Linked DNA regions of Oryctolagus cuniculus. The protein of the gene in region 1 purifies or fractionates together with the protein of each later gene. This does not show direct contact. Links are inferred from orthologs where the notes say so. Each region holds a gene or a part of one and is shown in the gene's direction. Other genes may lie near its edges. The genes, in order: FUS, ZNF326, HNRNPUL1, HNRNPR, LARP1, DDX17 and SNRPD1.

Region 1 (4,074 bases):
TCAATCTACAAAGAAATGTCTGGAACCCAGAGCAAAGTTTGGTTGGGAAGGAAAATCTACAGTCGCACATGTACCAGGAATAATCTTTGTCTGATTTGTTGGAAAAGATTCAAATCCCCCTCCCTAGGCAAAGCTGATCAGAGTGCAAGGTGCAAGTTAATTTGAATTTTGCCCCCCCCCCCCCCCCGCCTTCATTCTCACAGGAAACGGAACAGGCTTTCAAAATTCTATAAATAGTTCAGGTAACCAACAAAGACCTAGTGGTGTAGTGACCTGGACCTGGATTCGAATCACTGCCCCTCGCTCAGCTGCCTGTACAAACACGGATTGCGCAGGCTCTCCCAGGAGCTTCGCTTTTCTCGTCTCTACAATGGAGATGCCTTTTTTACTTTCTTCACCGGTTTTTGATGAGAAGGATGTAAAACTGCGCATGAAACTACTGAAGTCGTATGCCAATGCATTATCCCCAGTATCTCCACGCGGGTTCCGCGGAAGGGCTCAGAATGAAGAGTGTAGGTCGTCGTCGGGAAAGGGGCGGGGAGGGGGGACCCGTAATCTGATAACGGCAAGGCTAGCTGGGGTCGGAGGGGGGCCCGGGCTTTCCCGCCCCACGGTCCTCCAGGGGCAGAGCCACGAGGGTTCTGCCGATCGCTCCGCGCTGCATGAGGGCCCAGAGATCCAGGCTCAACTCCATGCTTGCTTTCCGGTCAGATGTCACAATCTATAAACCCCACTGAGGACTAACGCAGAGGCACCCTCAAGACGCTGAAGCGAAAGCCGAGACGCAGGGAAGGAGAGGGTCGCTGCGATGGCTGAGGGAGCAACGCTACAGCTCGCAGACAGGAGGGTGGCGCCCTATGCGGCAGAAAGGCAGCGGAGGAGGGGCTCGCCATCCCGAGTCAAAGTGAGGCCCGGGCGAGAGGGGCCAACCAGAGGAATCTCGGTTCCCACACCTCGACTCCCGGCCTTGACTACGGTTCCTTCCGCAGACGCCCGGGGCCTCGGCCCCGCCTCTAACGTAATCAGACCGTACCATGTCTCTCTTATAGGGGTAGAGAAGAATCGTAGGCTAGGCCTGCAGAGCGAAGGTGAGCTATTGATCAGAGAAAACATGATGATATATATTCTCTTATATGTATTAGTTAGTTTTTTTCCTTCTTTCTGCTGGGACCCTCGACCCTCCCCGGAAGGTGGTAGGAGTCCGGCCCTGCTTCCCCCCTTCGTTTTCGGCGGTTGGTACGTCCCCCCGCGGTACGTGGGCGGGGAGGCGTACATAAGCCTCGACGCAGGAGGCGGGGCTGCTCAGTCCTCTAGGCGTCGGTGTTCCGAGGTGTCGGAATCTTGTTGCTTGGCGGCCTGTGCGCGCGTGCGCGGAGATGGCCTCAAACGGTATGTAAGGGCGCGAGGCAGCGGTGGCGCGCCGCTCCGGAGGGCCTGGCTTGCTCTCTCCTAGCTGGGCTTTTGATTTTTTTCAGTGGGGCCAGGGCGGCGATCGCGTGTAGGATATTTTCGAACCCCTGTGGCGGGAAGCCCGCGGAGAGGGGCGGAAGGGGGGGCGGGAGGCTGTTGTCGCCATTTTGTTTTGCTCCTCTGGCGCGTTTCGTGCGGGGCGGGAAGTCTTCCCTCCGTTCCCTTGGATGAGGTGGGGGGAGGACGCTTTTCAGCGAGTTCGAGTCTGTGGTAGCGGGCGGAAATGCCCAGGTTCCCGGGCCCCCCCACCCCCTCCACGCCGCGCTCGGGCCCGCTTTGTCGCAGTGCTGCATCCGGGCACTCGGTGCGCGCACGCGCCTTGCGGGCCCCTCCCCCGTGCTCGCGGCGCCGATCCTCCCTTCCCAGCCTCGTGTCAGGCCGGCTTTTTGTCGCGAGACCCTCGGTAGCGGACTCGGCGGCCCGCCTCCGGCGTGGGCCTCGCCCCTCAGGGTCCCACGGGAAGGGGCGGGACCGCCGCGTTCCCGCCTCGGTTGCCACGCGGCCGGGGGCGGATGCTCGGGATCGGGGCCGCGCGCCCGGCCTAACGGTTGAGGGGGGCGTCGGGGAGATCCGCCAACGGTCTCGGGGGCCGAGTCCGAGGGTTTTCCCGCCTAAATTTTCTTTTTCCCCGAATTGGGAACGGGCGTCCGAGGCCACACCCTTCCCCGATCCCTTTGCCGTTTCCTGCGGCGGGAAGCGCCTGGGTTCCTGGACTGAGGGCAGGAGTTGATCTCGCTGCTGCGTCTCGAATGTGACGTCCTAAAAGCGCTTTTCGGTACCTTTTGGGTTGCGGCGGCTCCTCCTGTCTGAGAAGTCGGCAGGAGTCGATGAGAGCCTGTTGGAGCCCCAGGCCTGGGGACTTGAGCACTGATCGAATTGATGAGGGGCCTTGTCGTTTGGCGTCACAGGACCTCTGCTTTTTGGTTGCTTGGCTTTGCTTTAAGACTCCCCTCTGCTTTTTCTCCCAAGATTGGCCAAGGGGCGGAGAATGGCTATTGTTTTTTGGTGCCCACTTAGGAACTCCGTGGCCTTTGTCATGGAGTGGGTGTGACCGGGACAGGGATGGGACAGGTTTTCTAGCAGTTCCTCAAGCGAGTGGAGTTTGCATTGAGAAAGAGTCTGGTGGGGCGTTGGTGGCCAGCAGGGCAGCAGTAGGCTGGTGGGTTTCCTGGCTCCGATGCCCCAGTTCTTGGGTTAAGGAATAGACCTGGCAACCCCTTTCTTGACCCTAACGTTGATTGTCTTTTCTCTTCATCAGACTATACCCAGCAAGCAACCCAAAGGTGAGTGCCGTGTCTGGGCTTCTAGAATTCCTAGCGGGCAAGGGTGGTTGAGGTCATTTTCTTGACTGCACCCTTTTTCTTCTTTTTTCTTTTTCCCCTGCAGCTACGGGGCCTACCCCACCCAGCCTGGGCAGGGCTACTCCCAGCAGAGCAATCAGCCCTACGGACAGCAGAGTTACAGCAGCTACGGGCAGTCAGCAGACACTTCAGGCTATGGCCAGAGCAGCTACGGTTCTTCTTACGGACAGACCCAGAACAGTGAGTCTGTCTTGGGCGGGGGGGTCACTCTGCCTTGAAACCCTAAGCAGTGCTGAAGTGGTGAATCTCTCATGTTTTTTCCCCTTTAACCCTAAAACTTCTTGGAGTCTGCAGTCTTTTCCAGTGAAAATGCTTCCTTCCTTGCTTTTAATCGTTTCCTTTTTTCCTTTGACTTTTTGTTTATGCTGTACCTTTTCTCTGTTTCCCTGCTAAGCATGAGGGCATACTCCCTAAAGAGAGTGCCAGTCTTAGGCTGATTCTTAGTGGAGAAAATGGTCTTCTTGTCTGAAGTCCCATTACTGGGCATCACGGGATACGCCAGGAGAAGGAATTTGCCCCCGAGTTCTGAAGTGAAAATAATTCATGTGGGTTTTCTTGTGTATGGTGTACTCATACCAGCATATTAAAACGTGGTTGACACAGAGGGATATTTTGAATAAGATTCCAGTCTTGGAGACTGGCTTTAGGATAGGTGGAATAAAATTGGAACTGTCTTTAAAAAGTCAGTAGGAGTTAGAACATTAACCTTAGAGTTCAGAAGAATGTCCTTTCCCTGGCTGGGAGTTGCAGGATTTACTAGCAGTTGCTAAGAGGTATGGATGAACATAGGTAGAGTATGTTTTTTTTTTTTTTTTTTCAACCCTTCCCATGCCTTTGTTTCTTCATAGCTCTCGTGACTCCCTTGCTTTGTTTTTCTTCGTAGCAGGCTATGGCGCTCAGTCAGCTCCCCAGGGGTATGGCTCAACTGGCGGCTATGGCAGCAGCCAGAGTTCTCAATCATCCTATGGGCAGCAGTCTTCGTACCCTGGCTATGGACAGCAGCCAGCTCCCAGCAACACCTCCGGCAGGTAAGGTGTTTGTGTGCCCGCAAGATGAGGGGTGAATTGCTAAGGAAAGAAGGCAGAGCACTAGGAGCCATTAGGAGGCGCAGTGTGTGGTGGGGGAAGGGAGGCCTGTGTTGGTAGGGAGGAGGGGATGTGCTGAAAGTGAAAGGAAGTTGTGGGCATGCCGGGGTTCTGATTTGCCTGTGTGTTTCCCGTAGTTACGGCGGCAGTTCTCAGAG
Region 2 (4,144 bases), on another chromosome or scaffold:
TCTAAGCCAGGATAGAGACGCCTCGTGACAAGTTTAGACTGGCATTTATGTTACTGCAGCTGAGAACTCGAGACTGAAGGGCAGAAAAAAAAATTAGTTAGGAAGTTGCAGCACTAGTTATGGGGAGAGCTAACGAGTCTGTACATTCAATTGGTGGCAGTGGGGATGGAGAGGAGGGGGCAGGTTCAAGAAATTTTAGAGGGTAATGAACAGATGAAAGACCTGGGTACGGCTTGGGAGTGAGTGGAAGGAAGGGCTGGGCTGAGTAGCGACTGATGACTGGCAGGCGGGCTGGCTGGGATTAGTAGGATTAGGGGGATTAGCTCACCCTGCCCCAAACAGACAGGAAAAAATACATACAGGAGCCCGGGCAGGTCTGAGGAGGAAAATGGTGAATTGAGTTTTCGACATGATCAGCTCAGGTGAATAGAAAAACATATATGGCGGGGGCGGGGGGAGGAGTGTGGAGAGAAGAAGGAAATGAGCAAAGGGTGGAGAGCAGGGTGAATCATTTAGGGAGGAGAAGGAAAGTGGTGGGGAGGAAGCGACGCCTGGCCGGATTTCTGGCTACGTCAGACACCCGCTGTGTCTGTGTAACTGGAGGTTTTCTTACAGTGTATTTCCTTAGAACTTGGTTCCAGCAGCTGATTGAACCCGGAAGAAGAGCAAGGAGCTTGACTCCTGTTTCCTGTCAACTCACTGTTGCCACCATTTGCTTTACGTGGGGTGGTGGGGAGGGGGAGGATTTTCTTAAACCCGTGGTTCCAGCTGCCCCAAGGTCAGAGTGATCAGAACCGTTTTCTCTTTCCCTATGGTTGGGTGGTTGAATAACTTCGCCCACTGCCCACTGTCCACTCAAAAGTGTAAATAATGGAATGCTAGTAGGTTCGTTTGCCTGCGACCTTGTGCAGCTTCTTACTAGCGCCTTCAAATTCAGAGCGGAGAGCCTGCTTTGCCTCATTCCCAGAGTTCTAAGACCGTCCCAGACTTCAGCGTCTCCCTACACGCTCAAGCATTTTCCCGAGCAGTCATCACCAGCCAATAAAAAGCAAAAGGTCGGCACGTGATTTCATTCGTTTCGGGCAGGAGGAAGAGCCTCTAACCAGAGCCTTTCGCTCTTGCCAGGTTCAAACATGGCGGGCCGCAGTCCGCCCTTCCAGAACACTCAGCTCGCTTCCCCGCAGGCGCCGCCACTCGCCGACGCTCTCTTTTTTACCCACCGTGCCCGCGGCGGCTCCACGGGGTCAAAATCCTAGAGCGTGACAGCGGCCCTGCTTCCCGCCCCCGCGCGAGGGCCCGCCCACCAGCCCGCGCCAGCCAATCGCGGGCCGCGCTGCGGCGGCCGGCAGCACCGCCCGGCCCTGCCCCCAGCCTCACTGTGGCCTGCGCTCTCCGGCCCGTAGCGCCGCTCTCGGTGGAGCGGACTGGTTGTGAGGAACCGCGCGGATCGCGGGCGCTTGCCGCCGGCCAGAGCTCAGCTTAGCGCCTCTGAGGCCGTCCGCCCCGAGCCTCCGCCATGGACTTCGAGGACGGTAAGCGCAGCCTCTTGAGAGGTCTCCGCGGCGGGCGGGAGGCGGGAGGCCTGCGCCGGGGGTCTGTTTACCGTCTCAAGATGGCCGTGTGGGCTTTGTTCTGGCGGGCCTGGAGGCCGGGCCCAGGGCCCTGAGGCGGCCTCTGGAGGGACCCGCACGCCTCGAATCGGCCCGGCCGGGAGAACCTGGGAGCTGGGTGTGGGCCTCGGTGCCGGGAAGGACGCGCCCAGAGCTCCAGGCCCCGGGGCTCGGGCCGCGGCCTCGCCCAGGCCCCGGTGCGTGGAAACCGCCTAACGCCTCCCAACTTCCCGGCTCAGGCAAACGGACGCATGGGGCCTGCCGCCACCCCCACCCCCCTCGTGTCGCCTTCGCCCCACAGGGCGGCGACCCGGCCCGTCCGTCCGTTTAGTCAGTGCTCTTCCTGCCTGGTAGCATTTTCCGAGGCTTGTTCACGGTGCTGATTTCGGTTGTTTTTAAGAAAAGATGTTTAGAGGGCGTCCCTCAGAGACGATCGGTGGAAAGCCAGGTATTTCCTGGTTGGAAAACTGGGCTTGTTAATTCTCGTTCGAATTAGGCTCTGTGAACCGGAGCACTTTTATTTATTTATTTTTTTCGGTCTTGTGTGTGGATGCGGTTTAAGTTAGAATTCTGGCACGAGCAAACATCACGTGCCCTTCACCTTCAGACGTGTACTCAGCCGCTTGTGTTCCTGCTGACGAAATAAACTGTCGGAGCCGTGCCTTTTAGCCCCCCCCCCCCCCCCCAGCTCTTCAGATCGTTTTCACAGGGTCACAAAAAATTAATCTGGGCTTCGTCTTGTCCTCCGATGTCCTCAAAAGTCCTCAACTTTTAGCGACATGGGTGTCGAGAGAGGAAAAAAAAATGGCATGTAGTGACAGCAAGTAGGGAGGCCAGGGAAAGGGCTTGTGTAGTTAAACTGGATTTAATCCGGGGGAACCAGGCAGGCGTTTCTAAATAAAAACCAGTTCGCTAAGTAGTTGAAAGCCTCTAATGCCACCAAAAAAACAAGCCATACTTAACATTGAATGAGGTGTGATCTCCGCTTAGGAATGAAGCAGCTTTTGAATTTTGATTTTTACAAAAGTAAAAGCTACTGAATCAAGATATATGAAAGCCCCCCCCCCCCATTAGCCCTTTTGTAGATACTTTGAAATAGGAAGTTCAGCTGGTAAGAGTACCTGGGGTTTTTGTTTGTTTTAGTTGGACTTTGACTCATTTTGATATAAATACCTTTCAACTCTGAATGTTTGAAGTGATCAAAGTTTGGGATGAAAATAAAAAAAAAATTTACTGTGTTTTCAGGCTACAGTTTGATAGTACAAACACCCAAAGGGCAATCAGAGGCTGCCAGGTGTAGGTGGGGACAATCCTTTCCACCCACCCCAACGCAATTAGCCAATACAAATTCTGCAATTGAAAAACAAGAATCAAACTTAGTAATAACTTACTATTCTCATAGGCCTACAATTCTAAACAGTGTCCGTGATAAAATATTCCCTGCCGCGCTGTCCATCCTCAGTCACCAAATTCTATTTGGGAAATGGAATTTGACCAACAGTGTATCTATACAGTGTAGTGTGGTTCTGTTGTATCCAAATGAGTACTGTATTAAATTTCATTCTTTCAGTATTTATTTGCAAAATTAACTAAATGATTAAACTTTTGTTAAATTGGTTTGATGGGGAAATTGGCAATATGGTTTTCAACGGTGCCGTATCTTGGATGGATTTAACACACACTCAGATATACATATACATTCCTCAGATTAGATCTTGAAATCTTTATAGACAGTGAATTAAATGGCAGAAGTGTTGACTTTGAAAAAAATTACATTACATAAAACCACCTCTCAAATGTCTCTGCTTTTTGCATGTTTTTAATACATAATTTTAGCCGCTCTGCTTTCCTTCTTGTTCTGTACTGTAAATCAGTATTGGATCCCTCTTTTGACTGTTATTATGGATCAGGTGTTATGAACTAATTTTTCCATTACTGTAATTGGATGATGAGATGAACCTGCCTTTGGGGAGGGTGGTCAAGAAAAAGAGATGCGTGTTTTCCCAAAGGGAGTATTGGTAATTGTTTGTACCTCAGTTTTGCAGATAATTGAGTTAATGACATTTGAGAAATTGTGTTTGTTTCAAATAGATGCATATATAATTTTGGAGGTTTGCTAATATTTTACTAATTCCTTTCTGTTAACTGTGTCTTCATAGATTACACACACTCTGCTTGCAGGAATACTTATCAGGGCTTTAATGGTAAGTATCCTCTTTCATTTGCAATTAAATTTTTTGAGGATTCAGTGCATTTCAGATTTTCTCTTCAGACTCACCAATGTGAAAAGTCAGTTCTACTTTTTCAGTCATGGTTTTGGCTCTTGATGTATCACTTTTCATTGTTAACTGTTGCTATAATGTATGTAGTATTTGAATTTGGGATCAGAAAAAGTTAGGGGTTTTCATTGTTAATTAGACTTTTTGTCCATTTTATTTGAATTATGATTTTTAAATTTATTACAAAGGCTCTAATAACATTCTAAGTGGTGAAGTACCCAGTACTGGCTGAGTTCTTTTTGTTGAATTAGAAGC
Region 3 (3,500 bases), on another chromosome or scaffold:
TTCCACTCCCTGCATCTCCTGCGTCAACTCTCTCCCACCTGTGGCTCCCAGGGCCTTGTGCTGAGAGTTGGCAAGTATTGTCATTGACTTTTTCTCCCAGGACTTTGAATGTGGAAACGATGTGGAACTTTCCTTCACCAAGAATGGGAAGTGGATGGGCATTGCCTTCCGAATCCAGAAGGAGGCCCTGGGGGGTCAGGCCCTGTATCCTCATGTCCTGGTGAAGAACTGTGCCGTGGAGTTCAACTTCGGACAGAGGGCAGAGCCCTACTGTTCTGTCCTCCCAGGATTCACCTTCATCCAGCACCTTCCCCTCAGCGAGCGGATCCGCGGCACCGTTGGACCAAAGAGCAAGGCAGAATGTGAGGTGAGCAGACTCAAGGCCGCACTGGCGTCCGCCTCCCACAGCCACCTAGCTGCTGAGGCAGAGGGGAACTAAATAGCCGGGTGTGGGGAAGGAGCATGCTCACTGCGAGAGTGACTGGGCCCAGTGGGCCCCTCAGCCCTTCGTGTGGAAGGGTGCTCTGAGTGGGAGATGGGTGGAGCTGCTGTGGCTTAGGCTAAAGAGGAAGGGGCTAATGTCATCTACCTGAGTCTTAGATTCCAAAAGGAGGGAGGGCTTTGCCTCAGCAGAAAGGACAGCAGGCGATTTCTGGGGGTGCACTCTGCCACCCAGGGTGTCTGAGAGCAGAAGACACAGGCGGGCTTTGGAGATGAGTAGGCTCCAGGAGCTGTCCTGGGGATCCTGGTTTTTTGTTTTCTGGGTTTTATTGTGTTTTGTTTTGTTTTCCAGATTTTTTTATTATTATTATTATTATTTGAAAGAGTTACAGAGAGGAAGAGAGACAGAGATCGTCCATCCACTGTTTCACTCACCAAATGGCCACAATGGCTGGGACTGGGCCAGGCCTAAGCCAGAAGCCGGGAGCTTCTTCTGGTTTCCTATGTGGCTGCAGGGGCTCAAGCACTTGGTCCATCCTCCACTGCTTTTCCAGGTGCATTAGCAGGGAGCTGGATTGGAAGTGGAGCAGCTTGGGTCTCAAACTGGTGCCCATATGGGTGCGAGCATCGCAGGCAGAAGCTCAACCTGCCATGCCACAACACCAGCCCTGATCTTTGTTATTAAATAGTGTTTGTTTTTTTTTTTTTTTTGTATGTGTGAGTTAAGTTTATTCTAGAAAATAGGAAAAAAAAATTTCCCCTCTCCACCACCACCTGCTCATCAGTTCACTTTGAAGAGTTTTGGTATTCTCTTTGGTATGCCGGGAGCCTGTTTCGGTGTACACATGTGACTGAGATCTTAGGGTATTAGGGTTGGAGCATTGTGACAGCCTGCCTTGCTCCCTCACTAGTGCTTGTGAGCTGTAGCCCACCACAGGAAAGCCCTGCTTTGCACATCATTTTTATTGACATCCTAAACTGCCTTCTCTTCTCCCTCCTTATGAGGCATTTAGTTTGCATCTAGAGTGTGCTGATTCTGAGTGTACTGATTAGGAGTGATCCTTGTTCGTGTGTGTACAGCTCGCTTCCTGTTTCTGACTGCAATAAGTTCGTACCACTTCTCATGCCCACTGTAGGGACCGGCCCTGGAGCACAGTCTTTCTGGGGCTTTTCCCTGTCGGAGTCCCTTTTCCTGCCTTGACCAAAATGTCAGTGCTGGTGATGACAGCTGTTGAGTTAGCACTCATCCCTCGCCAGGCCTTCGGCCAAGCATCTGACCAGCCTGACCCCTTTGAATCGCAGCTGCAGCACTGTGAGGCCGGTGCTGCTGCTGCTGCCTCCACTTTCCGGGGCAGCCATGAGATCAGAGTATTCTGTTGTCACCGCCAACAAAGGCAGTGCCAGTCCCCATGCAGCATCCCTTTGCATCTTGTGTTGTAGATTCTGATGATGGTGGGCCTACCTGCTGCTGGCAAGACCACTTGGGCCATCAAACATGCAGCCTCCAACCCTTCCAAGAAGTACAACATCCTGGGTACCAATGCCATCATGGATAAGATGCGGGTAAGGACAGCGCTCCGCACCTCCCACCTGCTCAGTGCTGCCCTGCAACTAGGACCACTCACTCCTCACCTCTCCCACCCTCAGGTGATGGGCCTGCGCCGACAGCGAAACTACGCTGGCCGCTGGGACGTCCTGATCCAGCAGGCCACCCAGTGCCTCAACCGCCTCATCCAGATCGCTGCCCGCAAGAAACGCAACTATATCCTAGACCAGGTGCTCACTGATGGCAGCATGTCCTGGGAGGGGGCGGGCCTCTTGGGTACCTAAAATTTCCCCTCCAGCCTTCTCCTTTCTCAGTGCTTTTCGGCTGTGGTGCTGGCCAGGGTTCAGCCATACACGAGGATGCAGTCTGGCCTCTGCCCAGCTCCCAGGCCCAGTCTGCCGGGTTTGGAGCTGCAACCAGGCCTGCTAGCTTTGGCTCAGCAGCAGCTCCAAAGGACATCATTAGGGGAGAGCCCTTTAATAGAATGGAAGAGGTGTGGATTTATGAACCTGGCAGGCTGCGGCTGAAATCCTGGCTGTGCTGTTTCCTCACTATGTACCCATGGCAGCCGACTTTACCCTATGGGTCTCAGTGTCCTGGTCTGTAAAGTGGAGGTCATAATGGCATGCAATACCCAGCAGGGCCTGGCACGCAGTAACTGGTGATTACGATTACTTCCTCTGCGAGTAGGCATTTCCCAGCTTCCTTCACCAAGTTTTTATGATTGACAGGTAAAAACCTAAGTCATGTATTTTTTCCTGACATTTCAGCTAACATCAAAGGATTTAAGAGCCTTTGAAATCGAACATGGAATACTTTGTTTTATATTGTATATGCACATGCACAGAGATACGTCTTTTTTAAAGAAACGAGACAGTTTTGAGTTAGAAAGATTGTCCATGGCTTTCAGCATTCTCAGAAGGATGAGTGACCCCAAAATGGTTAAGGATTCCTGTCTCAGAATAATGACTTCCACATGCTTGTTGCCTGTGCAACGTCACACTTGACATTTGTCCTGAAGCCATACTCAAGGAGCAGAGAGTGTTTCCTTATTTTCCATATTTGTGGATCTGTGAATAAGCCTTGGATTTATGATGCGTAAGAGTCTGTGAGTGGGCAAATACAGACTGCTGTTCACATCCTTGGTACAAGGGTGTGACACCCCATCCTGTGGCCTCACTGAAGTGTCTTCTGTGTGTATAGCCTGAGCTGCTGGGTCACAGGGTCTTGGTGAACAACCAGTGATGGTTGTTGGCTTGTCAGAGAGGAATCCCCAGGGACCAAGTTGCATTCACGGAATGTTGAGAATCCTGCACCACGTAACGAACACAGGCTAGCCCAAAAGCTTCTCGTGGTTATTCTGCCAGCTTGGCTGCACCAATAATGCATCACCCAACTTCCTCTCACTTGGAAGACTGGGTTTTTTTTTAAACCCTTGGCCTCACTTTGTCTCCTTGTGAGGGCATTTTAGAATTTTAATCTGACATGGCCCCAACTGGACCTCATGGTTCTG
Region 4 (2,474 bases), on another chromosome or scaffold:
AGTCTGGCCTAGCCTCTAGCCCCAGCTGTTTCCAGCATGTGAGAAGTGAGCCGACAGATGGGATGGCAGATTTATCTCTCTTCTTTGAAATATATAAAAATAAAATTTAAAAATACAGTGGGAGGACATCAGTTTTTTTCTTGGTGCAGTTTACATAAAAACAGTTAGGGTTCAGGGGAACTTCACCTTCTGGCTGTATCCAACAATAATCGGGAATAGCCACATGAGAGAATCAGGTTGAGTTCCAGGCACCTGACTGTGGTCTTACCCAGTCCTGGTTATTATGGGCATTTGGCACTGAACCAACCAATGGAAGATCTTTCTCTCTCTCTTTCATGTAAAATGAAAATATGTAAAAATTTCAAATAACTTGAAAGAAGTATATTAAATGACATGTTATATTTTAAAATTTATTTGTAAAATCATTTTTCTAATTTTGTATAGGCTATGGATGAAATGAATGGCAAAGAAATAGAAGGGGAGGAGATTGAAATAGTTTTAGCCAAGCCACCAGACAAGAAAAGGAAAGAGCGCCAAGCTGCTAGACAGGCCTCCAGAAGCACCGCGTGAGTCTGCTTTTCGTAGATACGTCTTTGAACAAGGAGTAATTGGATAATGGCAATCAGGTGAATGAAATAAAATCAAGAAAAATCTTGAAGCAAGCTAATTTGATTTTTCTCTTCTCTCTTCCCTTCATTGCTAGGTATGAAGATTATTACTATCACCCTCCTCCTCGAATGCCACCTCCAATTAGAGGCCGAGGTCGTGGTGGGGGGAGAGGTGGATATGGCTACCCTCCAGATTACTATGGCTATGAAGATTACTATGACGATTACTATGGTTATGATTATCACGACTATCGTGGAGGCTATGAAGATCCCTACTACGGCTATGATGATGGCTATGCAGTAAGAGGAAGAGGAGGAGGAAGGGGAGGGCGAGGTGCTCCACCACCACCAAGGGGGCGGGGAGCACCACCTCCAAGAGGTAGAGCTGGCTATTCACAGAGGGGGGCACCCTTGGGACCACCACGAGGCTCTAGGGGTGGCAGAGGGGGTCCTGCACAACAGCAGAGAGGCCGTGGTTCCCGTGGAGCTCGGGGCAATCGTGGGGGCAATGTAGGAGGCAAGAGAAAGGCAGACGGGTACAACCAACCTGATTCCAAGCGTCGTCAGACCAACAACCAACAGAACTGGGGTTCCCAACCCATCGCTCAGCAGCCGCTTCAGCAAGGTGGTGACTATTCCGGTAACTATGGTTACAATAATGACAACCAGGAATTTTATCAGGATACTTATGGGCAACAGTGGAAATAGACAAGTGAGGGTTTGAAAACGATATGGCAAGATACGATTGGCTCTAGATCTACATTCTTCAAAAAAAAAAAATTGGCTTAACTGTTTCATCTTTAAGTAGCAGTTTGCTGCCATTTGTATTGGGCTGAAGAAATCACTATTGTGTATATACTCAAGTCTTTTTATTTTTCCTCTTTTCATAAATGCTCTTGGACATTATTGGGCTTGCAGAGTTCCCTTATTCTGGGGGTGACAATGCTTTTATTGTTTCAGGCTTCATTTTAGCTTCAAAACAAGCTGTTAAATCATGCTTTTGCAGAACCTTTGGTTTTGGACAGTTTCATTTTTTTGGATTTGGGATAGATTACATAGGAGTACGGAGTATGCTGTAAATAAAAATACAAGCTAGTGCTTTGTCTTAGTAGTTTTAAGAAATTAAAGCAAACAAATTTAAGTTTTCTTGTATTGAAAATAACCTATGATTGTATGTTTTGCATTCCTAGAAGTAGGTTAACTGTGTTTTTAAATTGTTATAACTTCACACCTTTTTGAAATCTGCCCTACAAAATTTGTTTGGCTTAAACGTCAAAGCCGTGACAATTTGTTCTTTGATGTGATTGTATTTCCAATTTCTTGTTCATGTAAGATTTCAATAAAACTCAAAAATCTATTCAAAACATTACCTATTTCAAATTCAATTGTGTCCTAAAATATTATTTTATTTGTAATCCTTGCAAGAAATATTGTTTTCAAAGTATAACTGCCTATGTGAGTGATCAAATTCACACAAAATTTCTTGTCTATTCCAACATGTATCGTGGATGTCAGACTGAGGCTTAGTCTAAATTCAAGTATTCCAAGTAGCACTTCATTGATTGGTGTTCTCTCATAGTTTCTATTAATTTTGAAATTTTATCCATTATTTAAAAAGGTTCAAAGACTTTTGAGCATTTTTGCAGGCATTGGATAACTTGTGTTAAATGAATAAAATGGGGCTGGGGAAGCAGACTGCAATTTATTTTGACCCACATTCATCATAATGGATAATTGTGGCTGAAGACCTTATTTGCTGGATAAGTGAACATACATACAGGGAAAATGCTTAGTACTGTAGCGGCCAGATGCACTGTGGACTGAACCTCAGTTTCAGCATATGTGATTGTGACTACCACTTTAGTT
Region 5 (3,500 bases), on another chromosome or scaffold:
TCCACTTAGTGAATACTACTTCAGCGTGGACAATTTAGAGCGAGACTTCTTCCTGCGACGGAAAATGGATGCTGATGGTTTCCTTCCTATCACCCTTATTGCTTCCTTCCACCGAGTGCAGGCCCTCACCACTGACATCTCACTCATTTTTGCGGTATGTCTCCCTCCCTGGGACAAGGGTGCAGGGAAGAGAAAGGTTCTTACTTAACGGAGTTGGAGTTGCAGGCCAGGGCAAAAATCCCTGGGAGGGTCCTCATCTGATTACTTGTGTTGTAGTCCCAAGGTTTAGCTACCGTCCTTTCCTGCCTTCTTCCTTCCTGCTTTCACAGAAAATGTAGACAGAATAGCACTAAGGAGCCCAACACCAGCTTTAACAAGTGCCAGTCTTAGTCCATCATACCTGCATCTATTTCCCCCTCATATTCATCCACAAATGTGTCAGTATTCATCTCTTCGAGATAAAGACTTGCTGAAAAATGTAACCACAATATCATCACTCCTAAAAACATGAGTATTAACAATTCATCAATACCACCAAATACCCACTCAGTTTCAGACTCACCCAAGTTGTCCAAAAATAATCTTAACCATAGTTTGTGAAGCTCAGGACTCCAGTAAGACCTCTGCATTTTAAGCTCCTCCCTCCATCCCTTTATTTTTCTTGCGGTTTACTGTTAGAGTAAACTGGGGTGTGTACCCTGTAGAATATCCCTCAAGACACAGTGATGTTAGTTAACATGTTCATCTATGTTCCAAAGTTTCTGTAAATTGGTAGCCTAGAGAACTGATTACATGGAAGTTTGGGAGCTGTTTCACCCTTATCAAGAGTGTTCCAAGAGTGCTGGATTTTGTAGAATAGCAGTTAAAGATGCCACCTGTGACATCAGAGTCCCATATGGGTGCTGGTATGTGTCCTGGCTGCTCGACTTCTGCTGCAGCTCCCTGCTGATGGCCTGGGAAAAGCAGAGGAAGGTGACTCAAGTGCTTGAGCTCCTGCTACCAACATGAGGGACGTGGGAGAAATTTCTGGTTCCAGCTTGACGCAGCCCTGGCTATTGCAGCCCTCTGGGGAATAGAACAGCAGATGGAAGATTGATCTCTATGTCTGTCTCTCCCTGTCTCTCTCTCTAACTCTTCCAAATAAATTAATATTTTTTTTAAGTACAGATCAAGAATGATGTTTTCTCTTTCATGGCACGTAACATATCTTTTGTTTATCTCTCTTGTGAGCAAAGCTAATATTGGTGATCATTTCTGATGACTTCATTGGGAATGGTAACACTGTGGTGGTCTCAATCTGTCGGTCTCCAGGGTTGGAATCTCGCTTTGAGGGGAACCGTTGCCTCATTGACTACGCAGTTACTGAGGCAGATAGATGGCTCGATCTTTTCCCTTTCCTTAGCCAGTTTACGGAATTGTCAGTTGATCCCTAATTACTTCCTCGGAGTTTTTTGTTTTGTTTGTTTGTTTGTTTGGTCTGTTTGGAATTATTGAATATTTTAATATTATAGATTCAAACTTTTACTTCAGTTCATTGCAGTTAATATGTTGGATCAAATTGTCTGATTTTTGACCAGTTCATCTTGTACATTTTATGCCACAGATTTGGAGTTAGCCACTTTTTAAAAGAACTTTAATTGCTTTTTGAAAGAAAATGGTATTTAAATACTGTAGTCCCAGTTAGAGGGGCTGCTCATTGTTGCTTCGCTGATTGTTTTTAGAAGGTAATTTTTGGGGCTGGCATTGTGGCATAGCAGTTAAAGCTGCCCTCTGCAACACTGGCATCCCATATGGGCACCAGTTTCTGTCCCAGCTGCTCCACTTCAGTCCAGCTCCCTACTCATGTGCTGAGGAAAGCAACAGAAGATGGCACAAGTACCTGGGCCCTTGCCACCCACTTGGGAGACCCGGAAGAAGCTCCTAGGTCCAGGCTTCAGCCTGGCTTAGCCCTCACTGTCGGCAGCCGCCTGGAGAGTGAACAAGTGGATGAAAGACCTCTCCTTCTCTCTTTAACTCTGACTTACAAATAAATCTTTTGTAAAAAGATTGTGAGATTATACTTTCTTATAAAGTTCAGGAGTATAGGATCTTTATTTAAACTGGGTCTTTCTTTGAATCTAATTCCTCCCCCCCCCCCCCCCCGCCAAAAATCTTAATTGCTAGTAACATCAGCATAATTACTTGTTTCATTCCACAGTATATACACGTTGTTCACTCTTTCTAAAAATTTTTATTTATTTCTTTTCATTTTATTTGGAAGAGACACTTCCACTGGTTCACTCCCCAAATTTATGCAATAGCCAGGGCTGGGCCGATGGGCCTAGAACTCAATCCAGTCTTTCCACCTGGGTGGCAGGGGACCCAAGTACTTGAGCTGTCATCTCCTGCCTCCCAGGATACACTTTACCAGTAAGCTGTATTGGAAGTGTAGCAGCTGGGTCTGAACCAGATTTACTGATAAAGAGATATGGATTGGCCAGCGCCGTGGCTCAATAGGCTAATCCTCCGCCTTACGGCGCCGGCACACCGGGTTCTAGTCCTGGTCGGGGCGCCGGATTCTGTCCTGGTTGCCCCTCTTCCAGGCCAGCTCTCTGCTATGGCCCAGGAGTGCAGTGGAGGATGGCCCAAGTCCTTGGGCCCTGCACCCGCATGGGAGACCAGGAGAAGCACCTGGCTCCTGGCTTCGGATCAGCGCGGTGCGCCGGCTGCAGCACGGCGGCTGCAGCGGCCATTGGAGGGTGAACCAACTGCAAAAGGAAGACCTTTCTCCCTGTCTCTCTCTCTCTCTCTCTCACTGTCCACTCTGCCTGTCAAAAAAAAAAAAAAAGAGAGAGAGAGAGATGGATGTCTTCAGCAGTGATGGAACTACTGTGCCTACTGTGCCTAACAGTGCCCTGACATCATTATCTCTGCTACCACTGAAAACCAATTTTTTTAATTCCTACAGTTAAATGAGTATTTCACACCATTAGCAATGATGAATTCTTTCATTTTAAAGTAAAGACAAGGCTGGCACCGCGGCTCACTAGGCTAATCCTCCACCTGTGGCTCTGGCACACCGGGTTCTAGTCCCGGTCAGGACGCAGGATTCTGTCCCAGCTGCCCCTCTTCCAGGCCAGCTCTCTGCTGTGGCCTGGGAAGGCAGTGGAGGATGGCCCAAGTGCTTGGGCCCTACACCCCATGGGAGACCAGGAGAAGCACCTGGCTCCTGCCTTCGGATCAGCGCGGTGCGCTGGCCGCAGCGCACCAGCCGTGGCGGCCATTGGAGGGTAAACCAATGGCAAAGGAAGACCTTTCTCTCTGTCTCTCTCTCTCTCTCTTACTATCCACTCTGCCTGTCAAAAAAAAAAAAAAAAAAAAAAAGTAAAGACAAATTCCTATGTGTATTCATATCCTTCCCCCTTCTTTGATAAATGGACGTTACAAAACATGTGTTTTCAGTTGTGTTTTTTGTTTTTGCTTCATTTATCTGGGAGCCGGTCTTAACTAGTTGCATAGTG
Region 6 (3,500 bases), on another chromosome or scaffold:
ACGAATCCCTTTCCACTGGGATTTTTTCTTTTTTTGTTTAAACTACACACTGTTAAGCTAAAAATATTGAATTTATTTTGTTTTGTTTTTTAACAGAAGCTTTGATATCAGCTGCAGATCACTCAGTACATGGCCGAGGCAAATCTACATTGGGCCGAAGTAGCTCTAGATGAGCCTGTTGGCTGGTCTCAGTCCCTCCTAGTTAGCGATTGGAGTTAGAGGCCATGTCGTAGGACTTCCCAGGGCAGTTTCTTATCCTGGGCAGCTGGCCAAAGCACGAACTTGTCCATTTCTTACCCTGCTACAGCATCTTCTCTAAAGGCGGCAAGCTGGTATTGTGGCAGTGCACAAGTAACATCAGGGCAGGCCTGACTCGAGGAAGCCCAAGGTCCGCGCTTGCTCTTACGTGCTCTCAGCCAGCCGTGTGCACACAGGACGCCTTTCCAGTGTGAAGAACTTGCACCATGCCTCTGCCCCCCACTGAACCCCTCTAGAACTCCCTCCAAGTGTTAGCGTCTGAACTGTTGATCCCAGAGCCCAGTGCTTCCCGTCCGGAAAGCCCGCCTCTGTGCGTCCAGCGCAGGGGCTGAGCCTGCTCTGCTTTCCGTGGTCGCACACACTGGGATTGACTAGGGAGCCTTGCTCCAGCTCTGAAGATGTGGTCACGGATATAACCCCCGCCCTGCCCCAGCCCTCCTCCCCGCCCACCCCGTCTTAACGTCCTTCCTGGCCCTGTACATTTTTTTAATTGTTGCATCAACGACCCGAGCCGGAGACTCACGCTGCCCCCTGTGATAAGTGCCTTCTCGTCTTTCTGGTGTGATTCAGGACTTAAGGGTCAGTAAAGACTGAGGAGCCTTTATTGTAATAAGAAACAGACATAATGCCCCTCTTCATAAGCCCTGTACCAACAGCTGATTTTTAAAAAAAAAAAATCATCTCCCCTTCCCCCTGAAATTAATCCAGTCTGGGCAATAGATGCGGTCTGACCCTTTGGATGTAACTTGCTTTTTTTTTATTAATTATTTTTTTCTACAATCACCCCAATTATCCTTGGGGGAGGCGTTGGAGGACCTGAAATTTTTACCCGAACCCAGGTTCTCCGGCGCATGGCAACCAAATGGGGCTACAGAGAAGCATCTAAGCCAGTTCACAGAGCGAGCGTGTGTGGGGACTTCTCACTGCCACGGACCCTTGATGCATGCTCCCCGCGCTCCAGTGGTCCCGTGTCAGAAGGCGGAGTTTTCGAAAGGAGGCCGCCAAAAATAAAAGGCAAAGAGACGGGATCGGCTGCAGCGGTTTCCCAAAGGAGGAGGGAGTGTGCATCGGTCTGGTAACAAACAGAGAATGTTTTTTAATTACTTATATCACAAAAATCTGTGTTTTATCTAGGATATTTTCTGAATATTCTTTGTAAAATGCAGATTTTTCCACAAAACATTAGGATTCTTTGTTATATTAAATTTGTTGTTTAAGTAGGTTTAAAAAACATTTAGCTGAAAGCATTACACTAACATTTACATACTGTAAGCATTAGGAAGTTACTCAGCCCAATTCTCAGCAGTGGACAGAATATCAAACTGTCTCAAGGTTTCATGGTTTTTCCCACATTCTTTGGCTATTTATATAATTTCCCAGGTCACATAGACAATCTGCAATAATTGAAACAAGTACTGGGTTAAAATAACCTTGAGTTGAGCAAAACACTCATTTGGCAGAAGCTGGGCTTGGTAGAGTGAAATTTTAGTGTAATGTGTTCTTGTGGTAATCGAGAGAAAAATAATCAGAATATTTATGCAAAAGAAAAATCGGTATAGACTTGACTTTGGCTGTGATCAGTGTTTTAAGATGCAAGAGCAGAAAGGAATCAGCCTAACGTAAATGTTTGGATTAAGTCTGCAAAGCATAGTAATGAGTCTGTGAAACTCCTTTTCTCATTTTGCTCTGTGACTGGCTGGAAGGTAAGTTTGTCGTGGTGTTGGTAGAGTTTGCCAGGCTTCTCCCAACAGAGTAGAAGTGATTTGGCTTTGCGAATTAACGCCTCTCTTCTACGATTCCAGTTTCGAAAAGGAATTTGTTAAAGACCAGTTCTGGTGTAGCTCCTGTCAGTATATTGGCCGCATAGTAGAGGCAGGAGTTTGAATGATTGGAGTTTGAATGATCGGGGTTTCCGTCGGCTTTTATAGTGTCCCATGCATGTCCCAGGAACCACTAATCAATCCTCTTTTACTCTGTTGGGATGAGTCTTGTTTTGTTCCTGCTCAGAGCGGTTACTAACTTGATCTTCTCTCCTCTTGCTGTCATCTGCATTCGTGCTTCCCACCTGTTGTTGGCATGTCCTTTCTCTTCTCTTTCCCTGCCACATCCACCTGCACACTGACGCGTCGCCGACTGCAGATGTGGAAGATGTCAAGTTTGTGATCAACTATGACTATCCAAACAGCTCAGAGGACTATGTGCACCGTATTGGCCGAACGGCTCGTAGCACCAACAAGGGCACTGCGTATACCTTCTTCACCCCAGGGAACCTGAAGCAGGCCAGAGAGCTGATCAAGGTGCTGGAGGAGGCCAATCAGGCCATCAACCCCAAGCTGATGCAGCTGGTGGACCACAGAGGCGGCGGCGGCGGAGGGGGTAAGGCTGAGCCCTGGAGCTCTGCAGGCGCTGCCGAGGTGTTTTCCTCCTGACGTTGCTGTGTCTCGTCTTTCTGAATACTGTGAAGGCTTTGAGGTGGATGTTTAGTGAAGACAAGAGGACAGTGTTCAGTAGTTTCCATAAGCTCTGCTAAATAAGAAAATGTAAAGTTTGTCGTAATTGTCCTATTTTTGCAGCACAGTATTTTTGTAGATGACAATCTGAAACTCATCTTTTGAGTTTTGAAATGTATAGCGCATGTTCAAAAATTAAGCTAAATTACCATTGCTTTTTAATACGTTCAAAATACTTACCTAGTGTTTTTGGTCCTCTTTATGGAGTGAGATGTGACAGTTGGGACGACACAGTTCTAAAATACAGTAGAATCTCCAGATTGTCCCAAAACACAGTAGAATCCCAGAAACTCCCAAAATTGTGTTGGTTGGTCGTCCTCAAGTAGTCGAGACCCTAGAAGGGTGCCAAGTTGGAAGGGTGCCAAGCTGGGTATCGTTGAATGTTACTGATGTTACCAGTTAGAGGCTGCTTTCAGGGATCCAGGGAACGTGCAGTCACTCGTGTTGATACAGCTGTGGCTGGATCGCGTTCCTTGAATTTAAAGTTGCCTTCTGTCCTTCCGTCAGGAGGCCGTTCTCGGTACCGGACCACTTCCTCAGCCAACAATCCCAACCTGATGTATCAGGATGAGTGTGACCGGCGGCTTCGAGGAGTCAAGGATGGTGGCCGGAGAGACTCTGCAAGCTATCGAGATCGTGCTGAAACCGATAGAGCCGGTTATGCTAATGGCAGTGGCTATGGAAGTCCAAATTCCGCCTTTGGAGCTCAAGCAGGCCAATACACCTATGGTC
Region 7 (4,000 bases), on another chromosome or scaffold:
TCATTGACATAAAGGGTAGAGTCAGCTTCCTGAGGACCACGTGCGTCTCCAGAAGAATACTGAGAACTCTCGAGAAGAAAGGGGAGTAGAAGAGGTTGTGAGGACTGCTCACAAATATGCCTCATAGCTTTGCTACTCAAGTTGTGATCCATGGACTAGGGAAATCTTCAACTGAAGGCTTCTGGAAATGCAGAATTTCAGGCCCTACAACAACTGAACCAGAATTTTCATCTTCAAATTTCCTCAATGGGGCTGGTGGTGCGACATAGCGGGTAAAGCCGCCTCTACAACACCAGCATCCCACATGGGTGCCAGTTCAAGTCCCGGCTTGCTCCACTTCTGATCCAGCTCCCTGCTAAGGCACCTGGGAAAGCAGCGGAAGAGGGCCTAAGTGCTTGGGCCTCTGCACCCTTGTAGGAGACCTGGAGGAAGCTCTGGGCTCCTGGCTTCAGCCTGGCTCTGCCTTGGCTGCTGCAGCCACTTGGGGAAAAACGTATGGTTGGAAGATCTCTGACTCTCCCTCTTTCTCTGTTAACTCTGATTTTCAAAATAAATAAATCTTTATTTAAAAAATTCCTTGGGTCTGTCCTGTGCACATTAAAGTTTGATGAGCATTGCCTTACAACATCCTAGAGTTCTGGTGATCATGGATGAAGTTCAATCTAGATTTACAAATTAAAACCATAGTTTTGGAGGAGATCGCCCAGGCTAAAGGAGAAAGTTTTCCTAAAAAGGACTACAGCTGTAAGCCCTGAAGCATCCTGACACGTGTAAAGACTCAGAGGCCTAGACAGAACAGCTAGTGGGTTAGGGAGAAACCCAGAGTGCTTGGCCCGGGAAACAAAGGTAGAAGGTATTTCAAAACTGAAGTGTGTTGAATGTTACTGAGACGTTGAGTACGAGGAAAACAGACAACTGTGTCTCGGAAACATAATTCTGCAATTTTCTTCAGATTCATCAGTAATGCTAAATAAGGTTCTTGGTGTTGGACCAGAATTCGCAATAACCTGTGTTTCTCTCAAAACCGCTCTTTGTTCACGGAGGAAGTTGTATTTGGTGCTTCGCCAACGCGCCCCGCCGTGCCGAAGCGTGATGGCGACTGCTAATTGGATTTAACTGTTCAAATCGCCCTCTCCTTAGACAGACAGTCACGCCCTCAGCCTCTGCAATGCATACCTCCGGCAGCGAGGGGTCGCAGTCGCGCTCCCCTTGGCCGGAAGGCAAAGTGGCCCAGCAAGGCCTCGGCGTTTCCGCCGCACGTCCACAGTGCTCCGCGCGCTCGCTACGTCCGGAGCCCGTGGAGTAGGCGTTTCCGGCCATTCATACGCCTAGCCGGTCCTCGGTAGTTGCATTCTCTGCGTTATCGAGCAGAAAGGACGATTGCGCCGCTACGATGAAGCTCGTGAGGTGAGGAGGTGGCCGAGCGAGGCGGGGGCTGAGCCGTAAGGGTTCGGGCCGGGCTCGGGAAGCTGAGCGGTCCCGAGGCCGGAGGCGGGAAAGCCGCGTGCGCGCGGCCTGCTAACGGCCTGCGGCGCCCGCCGCGCGCGCCCCATCTTGGCCGCGGCTCCGGGTCGTGATCGATCGTTCTTCAGCCTCGCCTGTCTTCCAAGAGGCGGGCTTGAAGACCGAGCTGCGTCTTGTCACCTGCTGCCTTGGGGGCCTTGAAGGTGGCTTGGTCTCGCGTTAGTTACCCATTCTCATTGTGCGCATGGAGCTCCCGTGGGTCTGAAGACGGAGTTTATCATGGAAATAAGGAAGCCTACTTGCAGCATGTTTTAGATCAGAGAGGAACTAGTTTGCAAGTTGTGATTTTAAAGTTTTTGGTCTCTCTCGATGCTCCCTAGACTTTTGATCAGAAAAATCTCCCACTATGAGGCAAAAGCCAATACTTTTTGATTGTGGCTGGTTACACATAGCTGGTAATTCCTCCGGTTTCCTTTCTGCGATTGTGTTGCTTAGTTGAGCCTACTAAAGGATTGTTTATTGATGTTTGTAATTAGTTCCAAACTGCTTGCAGATAGGTTAGATTTTGGTGCTTTACATGGAGGCTGAGCCTGCAGCCCAGCGGTGGTTTCTGGTACTAAGCTAGCGGTTGGAAGTATTTGACGAGTTTCTTTCCTCCCAAGTCGAGACTGGCAGTGCTGACCAGTTATGGGGCACCTGTTACAGTTACTGTGTGCCGATAATAGAATTTTCTTAAAGGCAAGAATCCCTGCCTTGGAACTTTTTGTTTAGTGCTGAAGACAGATAAGTGGTTAACATCTAGTATGTTTGAAATACAGTTATACTTTATGGGTGGAGTTTGTAGAGAAGACATTTAATGTGAATGTTCATTCTTATTTGAATTATAACTTTGTATAACAGTCTCAGAACTCAGTGTATTTTTATATTTCTCCATACCTGCTCGTTTGAATCTTAATGAATTTTTTTTTTTTTTTTTTTTTTTTTTTTTTGTCACTGAAGATTCAGTTTGTCTCATTTGAAAATAGCACATGTTCTAGCAGAATTTCCCTGTAATTTTTAACGAGTGTGCTGAATCCCGTTCTGTGTCTTAGGTACTAGGTAGATACAAACCCTCTTGTGTCTTGCCTCAAGAAAATGGTTTGACTAATTAGTTTGTGTATGCTCATTGTATTTATTTCTGCATCTCAGTTGGTGGCATTATCATCCTTATCCTGTCACCCTAGCCAAAACCAGGGAGACAAACTTCACTTTCTTAAGTGAAGTTCAGTGTGTATTTCCTGAGAGTGGAAAAATTATACACTAGTGTAACCCAAACCCCTGCCATGGTAAAATACCAAAACCTCAAGAAGTTCCCTTAAGCTATCTCAAGTCAACTTTTAGCTCCACATCCACCAAAGCAATGTGTTTCTTCCACTGTAGTTTTGCCTGCAGTAGAATTTATTCTTTGGAATAAAAAAAGACTATATGTCTTTTTTATGTTTGCTTAAGATTTCTTAGCATGCTCCTGAGATTCATCAACATTTAGTTTTGCTTTTTGTTACTTTAAAGATTTGTTTATTTAAAACAAGGCAGAGCAACACAGAGAAGTGCCTCCCAACTGCTGATTCGCTTTCTAAGTGCCACAACAGCCCAGGCTGGGCCAACTGAAACCAGGAGCCAGGGATTCTGTCTGGGTCTCACACGTGGGTGACAGGGGCCCCAAACACTCTGGCCATCTTGGGTTGTTTTCCTAGGTGCATTAGCAGAGAGCTGGATCAGAAGTAGAGCAGCTGGTACAACAACCTGCACTCTGTTACGGAATATAGGAAGCTGTCCCAAGTAAAGGGTTAACCTGCTGAGTGCCGCCCACCCCCAGTATTTAAAAAAAAAAATTTAATTGTAGGATAGTAGTCCAATTGTATGTTTTAAAATGATATGTTTTGTTTAAAGCTGTTTTGAACATCCTTATGCAAATCTCTGTATACATAGCTTTGATTTTTCTTGGGTAAATACTTAGGAGTAGACATGCAGAATCCTACATAGGGTATACTTAGGAGCAGACATGCAGAATTCTACATAGGGTAAGGATATGTTTAACTTCATAAGAAATGCCCTACCATTTTTCAAAGTGCTTGTACCATTTTAAACTTCTAATAGCAATATGTTAGACTTCCAATTGCTCCACTTCCTCACCAGCATTTGTTGTTGTCAATCTGCTTAATTTTATGGATTTTAGTGGGTATATGGTAGTGTTTCCTTAAGTTTTAGTTTGTATTTTTCTAATGACTAATGCTTATTAGCTATTTGCACATCTGTTGTGATGTTATGTTTGAATCTGTTGTTTATTTTGATGGTTTCTTTTTATTACTGGGTTGTTACAATTCTGTATATCCTGGATACCAGTCCTTTGTCATATACGTATGTATATATATTTTTAAGATTTATTTTTTATTTATTTGAAAGAGAGCGAGATCTTCATTCGCTGGTTCACTTCCCAACTGACCACAACAGCTAGGGCTGGGTCAGGCTGAAGCCAGGAGCCCAGAGCGTCTGCTGG

The links.
Region 2: the proteins of FUS (region 1) and ZNF326 purify together in Homo sapiens (affinity purification with mass spectrometry; 3 studies listed by BioGRID and IntAct, with this or other methods). This does not show direct contact. The link is inferred for Oryctolagus cuniculus from reciprocal best matches to the Homo sapiens genes FUS and ZNF326.
Region 3: the proteins of FUS (region 1) and HNRNPUL1 purify together in Homo sapiens (affinity purification with mass spectrometry; 3 studies listed by BioGRID and IntAct, with this or other methods). This does not show direct contact. The link is inferred for Oryctolagus cuniculus from reciprocal best matches to the Homo sapiens genes FUS and HNRNPUL1.
Region 4: the proteins of FUS (region 1) and HNRNPR purify together in Homo sapiens (affinity purification with mass spectrometry; 4 studies listed by BioGRID and IntAct, with this or other methods). This does not show direct contact. The link is inferred for Oryctolagus cuniculus from reciprocal best matches to the Homo sapiens genes FUS and HNRNPR.
Region 5: the proteins of FUS (region 1) and LARP1 purify together in Homo sapiens (affinity purification with mass spectrometry; 3 studies listed by BioGRID and IntAct, with this or other methods). This does not show direct contact. The link is inferred for Oryctolagus cuniculus from reciprocal best matches to the Homo sapiens genes FUS and LARP1.
Region 6: the proteins of FUS (region 1) and DDX17 purify together in Homo sapiens (affinity purification with mass spectrometry; 5 studies listed by BioGRID and IntAct, with this or other methods). This does not show direct contact. The link is inferred for Oryctolagus cuniculus from reciprocal best matches to the Homo sapiens genes FUS and DDX17.
Region 7: the proteins of FUS (region 1) and SNRPD1 purify together in Homo sapiens (affinity purification with mass spectrometry; 3 studies listed by BioGRID and IntAct, with this or other methods). This does not show direct contact. The link is inferred for Oryctolagus cuniculus from reciprocal best matches to the Homo sapiens genes FUS and SNRPD1.

The regions. Positions count from the first base shown.
Region 1 is NC_091450.1:6,013,781-6,017,854, reverse strand, and holds the start of FUS (RNA-binding protein FUS), read left to right. Parts: upstream 1-1,274; 5' UTR 1,275-1,376; coding exon 1,377-1,389; intron 1,390-2,728; coding exon 2,729-2,753; intron 2,754-2,856; coding exon 2,857-3,011; intron 3,012-3,714; coding exon 3,715-3,859; intron 3,860-4,053; coding exon 4,054-4,074. UniProt on the Homo sapiens protein: DNA/RNA-binding protein that plays a role in various cellular processes such as transcription regulation, RNA splicing, RNA transport, DNA repair and damage response. Binds to ssRNA containing the consensus sequence 5'-AGGUAA-3'.
Region 2 is NC_091438.1:80,642,212-80,646,355, reverse strand, and holds the start of ZNF326 (DBIRD complex subunit ZNF326), read left to right. Parts: upstream 1-1,344; 5' UTR 1,345-1,516; coding exon 1,517-1,532; intron 1,533-3,769; coding exon 3,770-3,814; intron 3,815-4,144. UniProt on the Homo sapiens protein: Core component of the DBIRD complex, a multiprotein complex that acts at the interface between core mRNP particles and RNA polymerase II (RNAPII) and integrates transcript elongation with the regulation of alternative splicing: the DBIRD complex affects local transcript elongation rates and alternative splicing of a large set of exons embedded in (A + T)-rich DNA regions.
Region 3 is NC_091449.1:13,324,115-13,327,614, reverse strand, and holds part of HNRNPUL1 (heterogeneous nuclear ribonucleoprotein U-like protein 1), read left to right. Parts: intron 1-100; coding exon 101-367; intron 368-1,881; coding exon 1,882-2,004; intron 2,005-2,088; coding exon 2,089-2,217; intron 2,218-3,500.
Region 4 is NC_091438.1:147,612,369-147,614,842, forward strand, and holds the end of HNRNPR (heterogeneous nuclear ribonucleoprotein R), read left to right. Parts: intron 1-444; coding exon 445-566; intron 567-703; coding exon 704-1,316; 3' UTR 1,317-1,974; downstream 1,975-2,474. UniProt on the Homo sapiens protein: Component of ribonucleosomes, which are complexes of at least 20 other different heterogeneous nuclear ribonucleoproteins (hnRNP). hnRNP play an important role in processing of precursor mRNA in the nucleus.
Region 5 is NC_091437.1:41,684,037-41,687,536, forward strand, and holds part of LARP1 (la-related protein 1), read left to right. Parts: intron 1-9; coding exon 10-154; intron 155-3,500. UniProt on the Homo sapiens protein: RNA-binding protein that regulates the translation of specific target mRNA species downstream of the mTORC1 complex, in function of growth signals and nutrient availability.
Region 6 is NC_091442.1:115,130,814-115,134,313, reverse strand, and holds part of DDX17 (probable ATP-dependent RNA helicase DDX17), read left to right. Parts: intron 1-2,397; coding exon 2,398-2,634; intron 2,635-3,275; coding exon 3,276-3,500. UniProt on the Homo sapiens protein: As an RNA helicase, unwinds RNA and alters RNA structures through ATP binding and hydrolysis.
Region 7 is NC_091441.1:56,034,661-56,038,660, reverse strand, and holds the start of SNRPD1 (small nuclear ribonucleoprotein Sm D1), read left to right. Parts: upstream 1-1,200; 5' UTR 1,201-1,393; coding exon 1,394-1,407; intron 1,408-1,493; exon of another isoform or gene 1,494-1,667; intron 1,668-4,000. UniProt on the Homo sapiens protein: Plays a role in pre-mRNA splicing as a core component of the spliceosomal U1, U2, U4 and U5 small nuclear ribonucleoproteins (snRNPs), the building blocks of the spliceosome.